Linked DNA regions of Callithrix jacchus. The protein of the gene in region 2 purifies or fractionates together with the protein of the main gene of each other region. This does not show direct contact. Links are inferred from orthologs where the notes say so. Each region holds a gene or a part of one and is shown on either strand. Other genes may lie near its edges. The genes, in order: QSER1 and MAGEA10.

The links.
Region 1: the proteins of MAGEA10 (region 2) and QSER1 purify together in Homo sapiens (affinity purification with mass spectrometry; 3 studies listed by BioGRID and IntAct, counting the BioPlex papers as one, with this or other methods). This does not show direct contact. The link is inferred for Callithrix jacchus from reciprocal best matches to the Homo sapiens genes MAGEA10 and QSER1.

The regions. Positions count from the first base shown.
Region 1 is NC_133511.1:98,339,809-98,349,122, reverse strand, and holds the end of QSER1 (glutamine and serine-rich protein 1), read right to left. Parts: intron 7,241-9,314; coding exon 7,088-7,240; intron 5,330-7,087; coding exon 5,033-5,329; 3' UTR 4,265-5,032; downstream 1-4,264. UniProt on the Homo sapiens protein: Plays an essential role in the protection and maintenance of transcriptional and developmental programs.
Region 2 is NC_133524.1:148,403,156-148,411,865, forward strand, and holds MAGEA10 (melanoma-associated antigen 10), read right to left. Parts: upstream 8,080-8,710; 5' UTR 7,998-8,079; intron 7,158-7,997; 5' UTR 7,127-7,157; intron 6,500-7,126; 5' UTR 6,401-6,499; intron 5,434-6,400; exon of another isoform or gene 5,360-5,433; 5' UTR 5,289-5,359; intron 5,204-5,288; 5' UTR 5,139-5,203; coding exon 4,050-5,138; 3' UTR 2,947-4,049; downstream 1-2,946. UniProt on the Homo sapiens protein: Not known, though may play a role in embryonal development and tumor transformation or aspects of tumor progression.

The DNA.
Region 1 (9,314 bases), on a different chromosome or scaffold from region 2:
TTGGCCAGGATAATGTTGATCTCCTGACCTTGTGATTTGCCCACCTTGGCCTCCCAAAGGGTTGGGATTATAGGCATGAGCCACTCTATCTGGCGATTTATAACTCTGTACGTGGAAAGGACTAAAAGAGTTATATCTTAAAACAGAAACTCTTAAATTTTATATTCTGCAATTGTCAGCTAAGGATGTATAATTCATCAAATACTGACTGAAAATAATGGGTGGGCCCTATCCATTTGTAACTTTGTTTAGGTTGTGTGAGGAATCTGTAACATGATGATTTTGGCTATATGATACCTGTTTTCAATTCTTAAAAACAAACAAAAAACCCAAACATTCTGATTTTCTTGTTTAAAAAGTTGTTTTCATTTTAATGATCTGAGTTAGTAACAAACAAATGTACAAAATTGTCTTTCACATTTCCATACATTGTGTTATGGACCAAATGAAACGCTGGACTACAAATGTAGGTTTCTTTATAGCCTTAACTTCAATTATTGTCACTTATAAATAAAGGTGATTTGCTAACACATGCACTTGTGAACATAGATGCCAAAACTTGTACACGTAAGTTAATGCACAACCAAGAGTATACACTGTTCATTTGTGCAGTTATGCGTCAAATGCAACTGACACGGAAGCAGTTATCCTGGGATATTTCACTCTATATGAAAATCATCTTGGAGAAATTGATTGAAATACAGTTTAAAACAAAAATTGTATTCTATAAATACAATACAAGTTGCAACTTGCACATCTGAAGCAACATTTGAGAAAGCTGCTTCAATAACCCTGCTGTTATATTGGTTTTATAGGTGTATCTCCAAAGTCATGGGTTGGGATATAGCTGCTTTAAAGAAAATAAATATGTATATTAAAAGGAAAATTACACTTTAAAAACATGAGGAAAGCTTTGAAAACAATCTTAATCCATGAGTCCATCTATATATTTTCAAGTTTTAGAAACAGAAATTAAAATTTTCAAAGTAATCTGAAAATTTTATAAGCCATTTTAAAATAAGATTTTGTTCCCCCCATCTTACCAATGTTTCCTGTTTGATAGTGTGATACAGAAATGGGCAGTTTCTGGTGTCAACTTACTGTGCTAATTCATAAATCATTTTACATTTATGACTTCAGCAGCCACTCATCTGAACTAGTAATAAACACCAACACAAACTGATTTTTTATATTAAATTATTTTTAGATCTCTAAAGGTAGGAAAATCCAATCTTTCTTAAAAATACTTTCCTGGCTTGTGGCAACATGTGCTTTACCTCTTCAACTCTACCTAAAACCTAAAGTTATTTCTCTATTATAAATTTCAAACTCCCTGGCAAGGAATGTAAATGCTAACCAGCTAGGTATTTATAGTCATGCGTTGCAGAACAACTTTTTAGTCAAAGACCACATATTTGACAGTGGTCCCATATGATTATAATACCATATTCTTACTGTCCCTTTTCTATGTCTAAATACACAAATACCATTGTGTTACAACTGCCTACAGTATTCAGCACAGTAACATGCTGTACAGGTTTACTATATAGCCTGGGTATGTTGTAGGCTATACCATCTAGGTTTGTACATTATCATGTTTGCACAACAGAATTGCCTAACAATGCATTTCTCAGAATGTATCCCTGTTGTTAAGCAACGCATGACTGTGTTAAATTCATACAAAGTGATAACTCATGAATGGTTGTCATAATAACATTTCCATTTATCTCTAAGGCCTGAGGTTGATGTCTTTCCCTATGCTCTATGGATCAAATGAGAGAACATGATGCAGCTAAACAATAGGGTCTCTTTGAGGCAGTACCATAGACTTGGCCTCCCATATTATAAAAACCTTTGTTGTACTAAAGTGAATACAACTGTAAGCAGTTTGAGGGCAACCGCAGTGCAAAAGGAAATAGGTTATTTTCTATGGGAAATGTAAGATTAACCTTAAAGAGATATCTTTGTTTGCCGAGAGGCATATCATGAAGAAAATGTGGCTAGTGAATTCAAACATTCACTCCAAGAGCTACCTAAATGTAAGGTGGCTTTTAAAAATACTTAAATTATCAATGACTCAGGAACGTAAGCTGGAAGAGTAATATAAAGATATATATTTACAATGCTACATTGGGAGATGTAGTTCCCTACTCTGCACTTTGGAAATGAAAGACATCAATTCTATCCAGAGTCACTACTATCAGAAAGAAATACAGCTGCTTCCTACTCTTCTTCACTTGGAAAATTCATTTTATGATGCTCCCACTGTTGACACTCTGCGTCTCTCATATGTGTTAGGCAAAATGAATCTAATAGGTTACTTTTGTTTTCAAAATAAACCACCCAAACAGGTTTTTAAAAACTTTCAAAAATAGAACATTTAACCCTTGAGAGAAACTTCCATTACTGAGTACCTAGTCTAATGGCAAGTACAGTATTAAGGATTATTGCTTTTAATAAGATAACCATCAGAAATAAATATGTAAGCTTAACTCAAATCCTCATTTTTCACCCAACACTACAATGTTTATTCTCAAATCAAGTCACATTATTTTCAATTCTTTGCCAGTTTACTGAGGTTTTAAGTATAAAAAGTTGGCCTGTTAATTCAAAATCAAGACAATAGCAATAGCCATGTGTCTTATTTGGGCATTGAGCAGTAACACTGCTTTCTTGATAGGATTTAAGGCACTAAATGGTGGTAAAATAAACAAAAGGATGATGATTAAATTCTTTAGAATCCTAAAAAAGGAGATAGTTTAGAATGACACTAGTAAATCTTTTTCTCAAACAAATAAGGCATCCTGTTGGCAAACGCAAATAAAACACAAGGTCATGTTGAACCTAATACATTCACTGTCTCAGCTAAACTACTTGAAATGCTACCTATCAAACCTAAGAAAGCTACAATAGTGTGTATAAAGGTTGGAAAGGCACCAAAAGGAGAGCTCTACAACTTCCAGTTCTAAGAGTTAAGAACGCTGTGTTTAACACTGCAAATAGTCGAATTATCAGTTTTATTCTTCAAAATGTAAATGTAGTTAGATTTTTACCTCAGCAGTTAATCAAGTGCTAGTTAATAAGAAGTTTATTTTATGAATTAGAAAATTACTGCAATGTTAAACACAGCACTGTTTATAAAGCTAAACTAATCTAGCACTGAATGCATATTCTGGATAACACTGAAGCAAATCTGTATGAACAAAAATGGTTACCTCAAGATAGAATTCACAATAGAAATTCAACATATAACTAAAGATTTACTGAAAGTAAAAAAAGGTGTTGTAGAGATATATCCAACATAATTATAACCACAGCATTTTCCTTGTGAAAAATACAACTATTAGTGAAATAAAATGTACAATTGAAAATTTCCAAAGGAAAAAACAGAGTATAAATGAAAATACTTTTCTTTGCAATAGGGAAAATAGTATGTCATTGTTTTTTTTATCACAATATAATTTGACACAAAAAGCAGTCAGAGAATTGCACCAATTCCACATCCAGTTTCCTGAACATGTTAAGAGTAAAAGAAGTCTGTAAAGCAGAATAGTTTCCAAATTTTATATTTTAAATTGATGATATTCTTATACAGGATGTCGCATCACAGCAGACCTGTTTACATAATGTACAGTATTTCTGGTTTTGTGGCCAGATGTGAGTGGAGACATACGCTTTTTGCCACTTCTCTGTCATTCTGGTATTTAGCCAGAGTCAGAAAAAAAAAACTAATACTCGTTACTTTAAGTGTTATTTCTCTAGCAATAAAGAAAAATTATACTTAGTGCATGCTTCATCATTTGTCAAAAAATGTTTCTTAAAATAAAACTCAAGTTACCCAATGGTTTACAAAATAGAAAAATCATTCATTAGGTAAAAATGTGGTGGGACTTAAGTCCATTTCCAGAGGACTGACTTCCTTCCTAAAGGCAGCACCACTGTCCTTCAGCAGAGGTGGTGATGACAGTTCCATGATGGAAGTGGCCAGCCTGCAGAAGACCACTACTTGACAGCTGATTATCTTTGACCACCCCACATCTGCGATTTCATTAGTGCTATAAAAAAGATGGGACTTTTGTGGAAAAGTTAGGAACACTTCTGCTGTACATGATTTAGAAGTTCTCCAAATTTTTCAAAGAGGTCCTCTACCCATTTTACATTTTTCATACAAAGCTGAACAATTTCCTCCTGTCCTAAATCTTCATTTTTTTTCTGCACCGAAGAAATCTAAAACAAAGAAAATTGCCACATTAGCTTGTACTTATCACTTCATACTTAAGTTCACCTGCAAGTACTGATATTTTATTTTTTCTTAATCCCATCCATGGAGAATGATGATTTCACATAAATTTGGGTGAGATCTAATACTTTCATCTTTGGCTCCAAGGGGGCAGAAAGGAAGGCTAGAAAAAGTACTTCAAACTTTCTCTATTTCTTCCAATTATGTTAGAAGCCAAATGACAAATTTTAGAGCCGATTCTACATTTTAGAGCATTGCAAAAACAGTCACCCTATTTTGCATCACCATCTTTGCTCTCTCCTTTGCTATACAAACGTTAGATTTATGAGCATCTTTCCATACCAGAATACTGTCAAACACATTAGATAAAGCCTTGGGCCAACTTAACCCTTTTTAATTAAAAGAAGTGACAGTGCTGGTCAAATAAGGTAGTATTGTCTACAACCTTTAACCTGTCTGTGGAAATTAATGCTTATATCCCATCCATGCGGTGATAATATTGTCATGTATAATCTCTGAACAATGTAAAAGCTACAATTAAATTTTAACTTTTAGTTTTTCATGCCAAGGCAGAAAACCCCATTTCCCTGCAACTAAGTGGGATAAGGCCATTCTAAATAATAAATAAGGCAGTGAGATATCAAAGCAGTGACTGAAGTGAATTAAAGCAACATCATTATACACTGTGAGAGAACAAAATGCAATAACACATCATTTATTATGGCGATGTAAAGCAAGCACCAGCAGCTTCAAAACATTACCAACTATAGTTCCTACAAGAGGTGGTGAGGCTCACATAAATCTGAGCACAAAACATAGCAGAGACTCAGAATGACAAATCATCGAGTCATTATTTACAGAATACATAGGCAAAATATATACACACATGTATTTCACAATTCTCTTTAAAACATTCAAAAATACTATAGCTAGAATCTCCTTAATATTCTGAAAAACATACATTTCTTTTTTAAATAAATGAGAAGAAATTACCTCATCCTTACATATCAGATAAACATGATATTTATAATGATGGAGTGAATGATATAAAGAATACAACTGTATTTTCTCTGGATCAACAGCAAACTCCTATAAAAAGAAAAAAGTTTATAGATAGATTTCATGGAGTATCTGAGTAAGAACACTTTGAGGAAAATAAAGTCTCAATGGCAATGTTAAAAATGACTAATATGCGTAGGTATTAACTTGTATTAATATGGAGAGACTCAAAATAAGAACTTAGATTATATTTTAAAATATTATTTATCCTGAATATAAATATGTATTATTGAAACTTAAGCATCACAGGAAAATTTAAACAATAAACATATGAGATGATTTATAAAATAAAAGCTCCTTATAATCTGCTTCAGAGCTAAACAAGGTTAATGGCATGTTATATATTTTTTAATGTTTGCCACCTAGGTCTAACATGTACGTTAATGACACTACTTTTGTAATGAGAAGGGAATCATACTATACATATTGTCCAGCAACTTTTCTTCTTTCTTCCAACTTGTTTTTGACCTAAGAATAGGCTATTTTTTCATTTAGTACATATAGCTGTCCCTCCCCATCCTCCCCAAATATAAACTATATGAGGGTAGGGACTTTTAACCAGTTTCCACTGTTGTATCTGTAGTACAGCAGTATTTGGCATACTGTTGGCACTCGAATTTTTTTTTCAAAGAATGAACAAATCTATCTCTTTATAAAAAGCACATAGTATGACATTAGGTGGCTCTTTATTTAACCAACACCACGCTGGTGGCTATTTAACAAACAGCAATAATTGGATTGCTCTTATAAACAATTCAACAATGAGCAAAGACATGTATTTTTATGCATTTGTGAATCTGTTTCTATGGAATATATATATACATATATTTTTAGACAGTGTCTCATTCTGTCATCTGGATTGGACTGCAGGGGCACAATTTTTTTTTTTTTTGTGACAGTATCTCATTCTGTCACCCAGGCTGAAGTGCAGGGGTGCAATCACGGCTCACTGCAGTCTCCATTTCCTGGGCTCAAGTGATCCTCCCACTCAGCTTCACAAGTAGCTAGGACTACAGGTACACGGCAGCATGTCTGGCTAATTTTTTTTTCTCCCCTCAGGGTAGACACGGGGCCTTGCTTTGTCGCCAAGGCTGGTTTTGAACACCTGGGCTCAAGTGATCCTCCAGTCTCAGCTTCTCAAAGTGCTGAAAGCCACTGTGCTCAGCCCTGAATACATTTTTGCTGTGAAGCTGGTATGCTGACAAACTGTTTTCTGAAAAGGTTATAACAATTTATACTATGTTTGAAAATGAGCAAATTCCAATTTTAATGACTTTGCAGATATGAAATAAACATTTCATCTTTTTACGAAATGTGTTGTACACACTTATCTATGTGCCTGCATATCCAATTACAAATATACTTGTATTGCAGGTATTAGATATGTTAATGGGTTTGAATTAGCCATTTCACAATGTATACATATTTCAAAACATTTTGTACATAATAAATATACACAATTTAAAAAATAAAAAAAACTACATGAGATCCGATGGGTTAAAAAAATAAAAATACCTACAAATATATAAACACAAGCATGAGATGATTTCTTCCATATTAGTTAATTTAATAAATTTGTGAGCACATATTATATGCCTGATGCTATGCTACAGAAAAAAAATAAGTAACACTGCATCCCTGTTCCTCAGGCCAGAGCTGCTTATTCTTACCTGAAAAACCTTCACGCTTAATGACAACATAATAAAATATTTGCTTGTTTCAATGTTTTACATTGCAAATTGTATTAACAATTAGAAAAGGTATAGTTACATTAATAATTACACTTACTTGTGAAGATTTAATGGTTGTTTTAGAAGTCCTTAGAGTTTTCTTGTTATAAGCTTTGCCATTCATTTTGATTTTAGAAATAGAAGTTCCTCCACTCTTTGCTTTAGAATCTCGAGTAATTATTGTTAGTTCAGGAAAACTTTCCAAAGCATTCTGTAAAACAATGAAGCAAAATAACCGACACCAAAAGAAAACTAACCTAAACTACTTCCAGCTATCTAAAATTTAGATGTGTGTGTGTGGACAAACACCTGTTTGCAGAGGGGTGTGTGTGTACTGATGGGATGTGGTAAATATTTATATACACATACACATATATATATATACACAGGGGAGTTAAACATGGTCACAAGTTCTTTGCAGCTCTTCCTATTGGATATGGAATATATTTCCCCATCCCTTGAAAGTGAGCCAACTCTATGACCTGCTTATTTAAGCAACACCACACCACACTAGGAACCCTGAACAGGGCAGAGAGTTCTTTCTAGTAATGTGTCTCTGGCTTCAAGGAAGGACAAAGAGAAACATGTATGTTTCACCAAAGCCCTCTGAAATGTGGCTGGGCCTTGCTATAAAGAAATCATCTGCCTCTGGTGAAAATGAGGACAGAAGAGAAGTGGCACTGTAGTGCTTCTCTGGCTTCACAACTTCTCTTGCTTATTTTGACTGCCTGACAAGTACTTGTAAGATAAGATCCTAAAACAGAGCATGATGGGTTTTTGACAGTGGTCCTGTGGCAAAACCAATTCCACTCCATCCTTTAAAAGTCATTGGTGGCCAGACATAGTGGCTCGTATCTTTAATCCCAGCACTCTGGAAGGCCAAGGGTAAACTGCTTGAGGCCAGGAGTTCAAGACCAGCCTGGCCAACATGGCAAAACCTCATCTCTATTAAAAATACAAAAATTAGTTGGGTGTGGTGGTACATACCTGTAATCCCAACTATTCAGGAGGCTGAGGTAAGAGAATCGCTTGAACCCAGGAGGCAGAGGTTGCACTGAGCCAATATCACACCACTGCACTCCAGCCTGGGTGACAGAGTAAGACTCTGTCTCAAAAAATAAATAAATAAATAAAAGCCATGGGCATATCTATGGCCTAACCTACTTGGCAAATCATCCTGCCTGACTGAAAAGCTACAAACAATAACTGAATGGTACTTTACTTCCTAAAGCTACATTTAACTAGTTTGATTATGACTTTATAAAAATTACATTGAGCTCCTAATCATTTATTATTTTGACACTAAAAATGTTGAAGTCCTCCTATTATATTTACGATTCAGATTACAGTCCTCATTCGATAAGCTCAACTGTTTTATAAACAGTCACAACCTTTAAAGCCACTCTTCTCCAAACTCATCTATTGTTTCCGAGTACCTGGTATGGGGGCCCTGAAAATGGTACCTTTTTAAAAACAGGCAACCAAAATTCTTCTTAGTATAAGTGTAGGAGGGAACTAAATTTTATTTGATAGAAACAATAACACTTTTGGCGTTTTCTACCAGAGGGAGCTACCATGACATTCTAGCTTCATTCCTTTCTCAGATTATTTGTGCCCTTATCATATACTCTGGTGTTTTCCATTTAAAACATGCACAGACTTGACGTTTTTGGATCCAGAATTACTATTTGCAACAAATAGAAGACTAAAGGTTCTAAATTTGGAAACAACACACGTTAAGTCAGTGGAGATGAAATAAGAAAATCAAAATCTTTCCAATGACCACAGATGCCTAAGATGATCTGAAGTACACCAATTTCAGAAAAAGGCAGAACACATCATTACCTTGAAAAGGCTTCAGGACTCCTAACATCACCAAGATAAAGCACACTATTTATAAAGAACAGAAAATCTTTCTTAATCTAGTATTTGTCATGTTTTACTTCAAATCATTCTTTTAATATTATATAATCTGACTTTGAAATGCAAATTGCTAAGGCTGCGCATGGTGGTTCACACCTGTAATCCCAGCACTTTGGGAGGCAGAGGCAGGCAGATCACTTGAAGTCAGGAGTCCAATACCAGCCTGGCCAACATGGTGAAACCCCGTCTCTATTAAATTACAAAAATTAGCCAGGTGTGGTGGCGGGCACCTGTAATCCCAGCCATTCCGGAGACTGAGGCAGGAGAGGCAGGGGTTTCAGTGGGCAGAGATTGTGCCACAGCACTCCAGCCTGGGAGACAGAGTGAGACTCTTGTCTCAAAAAAAAAAAAAAGAAAGAAAT
Region 2 (8,710 bases):
CCTTTGCTTGCATCAGTTCAGAATTCTTGTGGAAAATACCACTGACAGGGTAACTGCAGATGCCTTTTCCTCAGGCCCAAACACTGTCTCGGAAGTAAAGATGCTCCCAACAGAATGGTGTGTGATGCTTCTTGCATTGGACCCCACATATTCTGTTAGCTAACAATGAAAGGTACCATCTCCACAGGGTTTCCATCCAACTTACCCATGTCCACACCTTAGGCCAGCCCTCTACCCCAGACAGTCTCTGGTGGCAACACAGGCCAGTGATTACAGCCCCAAGTCACCTGTCCCCTTGTGTGCCAAGAGCTCAGAAGCCACAGGAGGCCATCTGAGTCAGGGACACCAGCTGGATCATTTTCAAGGCATGTCCACAGAAGCCCTTCATCCGTAGAGTCTAAGCTGATTCGTCCTGGGGCACTATTCCTCCAATTTCCCCTCCATGCAGCCATACTACCACCACCTTCCAATGATCATTGGCATTCCTGGCAAGTCTCAGCTGTTGGTCATCAGTCAGCAACCCACTCACATAGCCCAACCTCTATGAAGGGTTCCCAGGGGATAAAACGCCAGCCCCACAGTAGGCACAAAGACAGCTCCCAGCCTTGGGATGCTGGCAAGGGTGCGCAGGATCACTGGAGTGGTCAAGAGAGATAGCTCACCCAGAATGATGCAGGGAGCCAGCCATACTCTTCCTGACAGAAGGAGGGGAATGTTGAATGAGCATAAGGTGTCTTGCAAGCAGCTGATGCATTCAGCTAACAGGCCTGCCCATTCAGATCACATAGCCACATCCTGTTGGTGATGATGATGTCCAGATTTCCCAAGCGTACCTCTGTTTGTTGTCCCGTCCTCCTTCACCACTTCCCACTTCTCTCCCTCAGGTCTCTGCTCCCATCGGGCTGAAATCTGGATTCAGAGTTCTGAGTGCCAGCCTGCCTGGGGCTCTGTGGACTTGGTTTGACATGTGGTCTTGCTCATGGACTCTAGTAATTGCTCTTCCCTGCATCCTCCCAATGTACCTTGTGAGCAGAGGGTGTTTTGTCTACTCTCCTTCCCGGCTCCTAACCAAATCATTTGAAAGCAGAGGACAAGTTGAACATCCCTTTCAACATAAATTTCACCATAAATTTGACTTTGGACAATGATAGTTAGACAAGTGCTATAAGAGGGATTTCCAAGAATGGTACAGAACAGTCAGAGTACTTCTGTAGGGTGTAGGCATGCTCTGTATCACAGGGTAAGCAGGTGATTCTGGGCTTCTCCACTGTGTTCTGGGCACATCCTCCAGCAGAAACCAAAGTGACAAGCTAGGCAGCAGACCAGGTTCCAGATTTGGATAGGAGAGAACACCGGGGACAACCAGGGGAAGGATGCTGTGATGTGGGAAAGGGCTGGTTCTGAAAAGAAATGCCACCTCCTGGGTGGAGTCAGCTCTCAAGGAACCTGGGGATTGACACAGGAGTTCCCTGGGTTAATAAGGTCCACAGGCCACCCTGAAATGGTGTTTGATTCTCATTGTCACCTTATCTAGGCCTGTTACTGCTACGTTGGCCTCAGAGTCCTTATTTTTGTCACCTGAGAAACATGGTACAGTGCTGAGAATAGAAACGAAGTACTACTCAGGAGGTCGGCCTCAGGCTGAGAGGCATGGGAACAGCATGGGCTCTACAGGAATTCAGACCAGGAGTCTTGTTCCAGCCCTGTTACTTACTAATCACGTGATTCTGGAAAATGCCCAAGCCCTGTGAGCCTTGGGTTCTTTATCTATGAAGCAAGTGTGATAAGCCTTGCTCAATGGCACTACTGGAGTGTGTGCAAATAAATGAAGCACCTGGCTCAGGGCCTGGGGTATTTAGAAGTTTAATGAATGGCAGAGGGCTGTTATTTCTGATATCATTTGACCCCAGATTCTACCACAGTCTACTCTGGAATTTTTGTTATCATTGTTATCCAGTATATCTCAGAATATTCAGCTCAATGGGACACAGAACCCCAAATCAGTCACAAATGTTGCTTCATATATAAAATTCAGCAGATTTTCCCTCTTAGAGGGTATATTTTCAAATTTTCATGTGCAGGAGTTTCTCCCTGCTGAATGCTGCTCAAAGCTCATGGAATTTGAGTCAAGGATCAACTCCTTCCTGCTCTCCAAGCTTCTTTTCCATCCAAATCATGATTTTCATTCATATCATCACCACGCAAAATCTAGCTCTTGCTTAGTGTTGTTCAAATTACACTAAAAGTAACCCAATTAAAATGTTTCTCTAATGGAGTCAGCTCACTTCTAGGCATCAATTCATAGGCTTATTGATTATGAGACCCTTATCTCTCAGGAGACTCTGCATATGATATGGACATCTATTATCTAGTTATTATGCAGTGTTCAACTGCACTGAGACAAGAGTGCAGAACACTTTCCATTCCTGCCCCAGGTGGAGACTCCTTTCTGTTCACCCAAAAGGAACTGCTCAGAGCAGTTTTGCATCCCAGGACTTTCTCTCAACTATGTGAGACTCTGAGTCTGGCACCACACAGCTTCTTTGGATTCATTTTCACCAGAAGGAACAGCAGTTTCTCAAAGCCCCAAAAGTCCTGGTTCAGGGGATGTACACTTGACTACTCTTACCTACAGCCCAATACCCTCATCCCTGTCTTTCTTTCCTCTAGGTCATAGAGCACATCTCGCCACCTTATTACTTGACTGCAGCCCCTAGATTCTACTGCCCTATGGGTAAAGGTGGTTCTGGCTTAATTTAGCATTTCCACTACAGACCCATAGCTTTCCATAGACCAGATGCTCAGTGGATATTTGGGGAGGAAATGCACAAGTGAGTAAAGGTTTCATTTATTACAGTTTAATTTTGACTCAACAAGATCCAGGGATAAAACTTCTAATTTTGCAGGATGATAAACTAAAAATAACAAAGAAAAATACCAACACTTAAAATTATTTTCTCTATTTTACTAATATTTTTTCATATTTCCAAGAAAATTGCTATTCCAATTCCATGTTATTTTATTACAGATTACAAATAAGATGGAAGGTTTCCTAATATGTTTTACAAAAGAGCAACACTGTTTCTTAAACTGGATAAAGAGAAATACATGTGTGACTTTAGATTCTGAAACTCATAAACATTCTAGTACAAGTAACAACATTTTAAAACACCAAGAAGAGTCTGGGTGCAGTGGCTCACACCTGTAATCCCAGCACTTTGGGAGACTGAGGCGGGTGGATTACCTGAGGTCAGGAGATTGAGACCAGCCTGGCCAACATGGTGAAACCCTGTCTCTACTAAAAACAAACAAACAAACAAAAATCAGCCGGGTTTGGTGGCATGCACCTATAATCCCAGCTACTCGAGAGGCTGAGGCAGGTGAGTCGCTTGTACCAAGGAGGCAGAAGCTGCAGTCAGCCGACACTGCGCCACTGCACTCCTGCATGGGTGACAGAATGAGACTCTGAAAAAAAAAAAGAATAAAATACCAAGAAGAAAAGCAAAGAAGTCCCCAAGTTATCCAAAGAGAACAGTAAGACAAAGATGTTAGGCACTGTATTTTCCTCAGCCTCAACCTGGCCCTGGACTACATACATCACTGACTTCTCTTGTCATTTGTTTCCATAAATTAAAAACAATGACATGTAATTATAGATATTTATGAAGTACAATTTGATATTTAGATTCATGTATATGTAGTATAATAAATCAGGTAGTGTATCATCACCTCATGCACTTATCACTTCTTTGTGGTAACAATATTGAAGAGCCCTCCTTCGAGCTGTGTTATAATACATAATATATTAATGTTTACTAGTCATCCTACTGTGCAATAGAAAACTAAAACTTATTCCTCCTATTTAGTTGTAATTTTCCATGTTGGCTAATCATTTCCAAGCCTATCTTCTCCTTCTCCCCAGTCTCTGGTAACTACTGATCTACTCTCTACTTCCATAACATCAACTTATTTTTTAACACTCCACATATGAGTGCTATAATGCGGTATTTGGCTTCCCTTTGAACACACAGTGAAGAGTCTATCCGACTTTATTCAGGATAGGAGAAGCTGGCTATGGCAGTAGTATCATCTGTGGTGGCAACAATGGCCTGGGCTCTCTCTTCCTCATCTTTCAAAGCCTCCTCATACCACAGTGGGAAGGATCTGGGATCACTCCCATTTACCTTGGCCAAAAATTTCAGGAGACTCATCTTCCTAAGTTCATTGTGGGCCCTGGGACCCCAAAGGAATTCATACTGTGCAGGATCACTGCCGGGCACCTGCCGGTACTCCAGGTAGTTTTCCTGCACCCAATCTTGGGTAAGCAGCTTCCTGGGCTCCCCATAAATGAAGTGTTGCATCCCATCATACAGCCCCATCATATTCAGTGCTTCCCAGATGACCTTCTCAGGGGTGCAGTATCCCTCTATGAAGATTATGCTTAGGATAAATATGAGAATGCCACTCTTTGGCATGCTCTGGACATCACTCAGCATCCCATCATAGGTAAGGCCCAGGGAGATGACAAAGACAAAGGATTGGCCAGTGGGGTCTACTTCCTTTATATCAAGGCCAAAGACCAGCTGCATGCACTCAGAGGCTTCACTGAACATCACAGGAAAGTGGTCTTCATAATTTTTTAGGACATTCTCCAGTATTTCTGCCTTTGTGATTGGCTCCTTCATTTGATACTTGAAGAGCAGGAACTCCACCAAATTCATCACCTTTTCATCTATCTCGCTTCTGGATAAAGACTCAGTGTCTGGCAGGGCCTGTAGGGTGCTTGGATTCTCCTCCTCTTGGTTGCTAAAGCTATCAGATTGGCCTAATGGAAGGGACGCAATGATCGAGGGGGAGGAGCAGGCTATCTGAGCACTCTGGGAAGGATCTGATGTCTCATCATCAGCAGAAGCCTCCTCTGAGGTGCTTGGTATTAGAGGATAGCAGGAGGAGGAGGAGGAGGAAGAGGAGGAGGAGGGAAAAGAGGATGGAAAAGAGGAGGAGCAGGTAGAAGTGGATGAGGAAGCATCCTCCTCCACAGCCCGGGGAGCCTGTGCACCCTCGAGGCCCTGTGTCTCACTTTGGGATTGAAGGTCTTCTTCAGGCATGAGACGCCGACGCTTTGGAGCCAGAGGCATGATGACTCTGGTCAGTGTAGCAGGTGGGAGTGTGGGCAGGAGTTGAGTGATGGGAACCCGAAGGCCTGGGGAGAGAGGGAGGATGTATGTGGCCACTGAGAACCACAGCTGAGAACCACACCCTGGAGGTTCTAACAAAGGCCAACTTACAGGTCTCCTTCAGTGCTGCTTTGTGGTATTCCACAGCTCTTGACCCCTTGGTCTCCCTGTTCCCTGAGAACCTGAAGAAGGAAGTGAGAGATAGCTCCTCAGGATGCAGCCAGCAGAGGCCACAGCTCCAGGACTGGCAGTTTGGTAGGTGGAATTGGTGCAGTGGGGTTCACTTTGCTATGGAGCAGGTGGGGTCCTTGGTGCACATTCAGGTCATGCACCTCACCTTGAAGCCTGGCACTGTCTGGGCCCTCTCTGTTCTGTGATCTGATAACACTGTCTTAGAACAAGGCCTCACCTCACAGTCCCTGGATCTCCTGAAAAAGGAACTGAGGAGCCCTCAGAGTTCAGGCTGCAAGCACAGCCCCAGCCTCTGAGTGCTGTCAGGAGGATGGGCTGGACTCTGTGAGTTCCCCACTACTCTGGAGTGGATAGCCCCCTCTATGTTCACACAGGGCTCTTACCTTTCTCCTGGAAGAGCCTGGACCCTGCCCCTTTGCTGACCTAAGAAATTCTCAGATCAAAAGCTCACATCCCTGATACAAAATAGAAGACATGAGGGGACCCAGATCTGGTGGAGCCACAACTATGGAGGTCCTCCCAGAAAGGACAGCAAGAGGTGACCATATTCAGCTGAGTCCATGCGTCCTGGGTGAGGAGCCTGCTTGGTCCTCATCTGGATGCCTGATGGGGCCTCAGACCCTCCCTTTGTTGACCTGAGGCCACTTCCCTAAACCAAGGCCCTATCTACAGAAGACATAGAAAGAGGAAGTGAGGGGAGTCCAACTACCCACAGTTCACTGTGAATTCCCACGGCTGACAGAAGGGTCAGGGTGTTGTTGGGTCCTGTGTGTTTGGAAAATGGGGTTCCCTCAGTCCTCACCTTGACTCCTGGCAGGGTCTGGGACCCTCCCTCTGCTGACCTGAGTGTGGCCCCCTTAGACCAACACCTCTCCCTCTCAGAGACCAACTGTCCTTGTATAAGACAGGGCCTCAGCCGACAGCCCTGACTAGGTTCTCCAGAGTGACAGTAGGTTCATGGCAGATTTTTGTGGGGCCTCCATCTGTGTTACAGCCTGGGGGCACCCTCAAATTTCCCTCAGATTCCTTACCTGGACTCTTGTCACATCCTGCCACCCACTGTGTCTGTCACACAGAGGGGCTCCCTGTGTTGACCTGAGTCACACTCTGAGAGCAAGGTTCTCACCTCCCTGAGATTTAAAAAAAAAAACAGTAAGAATGAGGCACATCCCATCCCTCCTGTGGGGTGTCCACAGCTGATATCTCCCCTTTACAACCAAGACTGCATTTCCCTGAGGATTCCTCAACTTCCTGCCTGTAGTTAAAGTGAGCTGGCCACTTAGTGCCAATCCTGATCAGCACCCCCCAGAGCTTAGAACAGGGGACAGTCAGACTCTGTGGCATTCCTTCTTTCTGGGCTGCAGATACCTCCAGTCCTCACAAAGGGGGCACACATTGCTGCAGATTCTGGGACTCCTCCCTCTGTTGACCAGGTGTGGAACCATGTGATAACTTCTTAGCAACCCTTCGGCCAAGGACCCCAGCTCCCTGAGACCGAGGAGGCAGAAATAGGGGAGGAGGCACCACATGATCACACTTGCATGGGATTCCCAAAGCTGACAGAAGGAGCGGATTTGGCGGGAGCAGGGAGGGGGAGGGGGACAGGGCAGGGACTTCCTCTATTTGGGTATCCTCCAAGTATTCAGCTTCACTCTGACAGAGCCCAGCCCTTTCCCTCCTGCTGAATCGTGTATGGGTCTTGCACGCCAAGGCACCATCTCCCTGGGATCCCTGGTGAGAAAATGGGGGCTACTTACCTTCCTCACAGTCCTGCCTGGGGTTCCAGAGCTGAAAAGAGGGACAAGTTTTTTAGTTCTGAGATGCAGGGATCTGCTGAGTCCTCCCTCAGGGTTCTGGGACTCCTCCCCCTGCTGACCTGAGACTCCACTACTCAGACCATTGCCCTCTCCTCATTGACACGCCAAAGGCACAGCAAAGACACATCACATGGGCCACCGTGCTTGAAACCGCCCAGAGCTGAGGTCTCCATTGATCTGGACTACAAGTTCCCATGAGTCCTCTCTCTTCTTCCTTCTCTTGACTCCTGGCAGGATTGCTCTCTCTTCCATCTTCCCCCCCCGACCCCCCCAACCACCGCCATTGACCTGAGTCTCTGTCCCTTGGATTCCGGAGGTTGAGTGAGGAAGTGTCTCACTCTGAGACAGGGGTGGGGTGGGCATCCTGTCCTAGGATCCCCTCATGCCTCCCTTGTCTCCCAGCAGGGCCTGGGCCCTCTCTCTCTGCTCCCCCAAAAGCGCATTCATAGTACCAATCTCCTTTCTTCTGTCAGCCCCAGATGCGGAGGTCAGAATTTGTATTCCTGGTCCATGCCCAGGAGTTCCCAGGACTGGCATCAGGGGCAGATCCCCTCCTGAATGTGCTGACCTTCATGCTTAGCAGAACCTAGGCGCTGCTCCCTCCTAATCAGCTCTGCCTTAGTCACAACGAGCTCTGATTCCCAGCGTCCCCTGCGGCTTAAGCGGCGGGAGAGAGTGGGGGCGGGGATGTGACCGACCAGCCTGAGAAGTCTGCCCTCAGGTGGTCCAGGGCTAGAAACAGGCAGCGCTGGATTATTTAGGGCTTTCTGTCCGGGTTGGGGGCGTCCTCATTCCTCCCTCAGCCTCTCACCTTGCCTCCTCACAGAGCCTGGGCCCGCTCTCTTCAGCCGATATCAAGCCTGTCTCTCAGAACGAGAATCTCGCGTCTCTCTGATCCCTGAGGCGTAAGTCAGTGGCGTCACATCCTGCCCCTGGGGCTTCCCTGGGTTGACAGCAGGGGCGGAGTGGATTCCGCTGCAGTTGCGGTGGGAGTGGCAGAGTAGGAGTGGGAGTCCAGATGGGGTGGGGTGGGGCTGAGGATGGGGTTCCGGCAGGGGTAGTGGTGAAGATAGGTGTGGGGGTGGAGACTGGGATGGGAATTGTGGGGATGTGGGTCGTGGTGGCGGTGGGGTCTTTCAGTCATCCCTCAATTGTCTCAATCCTGACTCCTGGAATAGCCTGTACCCCTGTTTCATGCTGAGGATGTCTGCTCCCCTTATATCAGGTTTCTTGACTTGGAGTCCTCTGAGTTGACAGTGCAGGGAAGGTTGTGATCAGGGTGACAACATTGCCAGGGTCTTCCAGGGCTGACAGGAGGGGCTGACCTGTATTCTGTGGCCCCTTTGTGTAAAGCGGGTGGACCCTCAGTCCTTACTCAAGAGAGTCCTCCTCCTGGCTTCTGGCTCTTTGATGAAGTGATGGGTGGGAGATGCTCTGTTTCTGTTACCTCTAAGCATTTTCCCAGCTGCACTTCTTGCAGAGCACTGTTGCAGGTCCCAGGCCAGATTGTGGTGACCTCTGCGA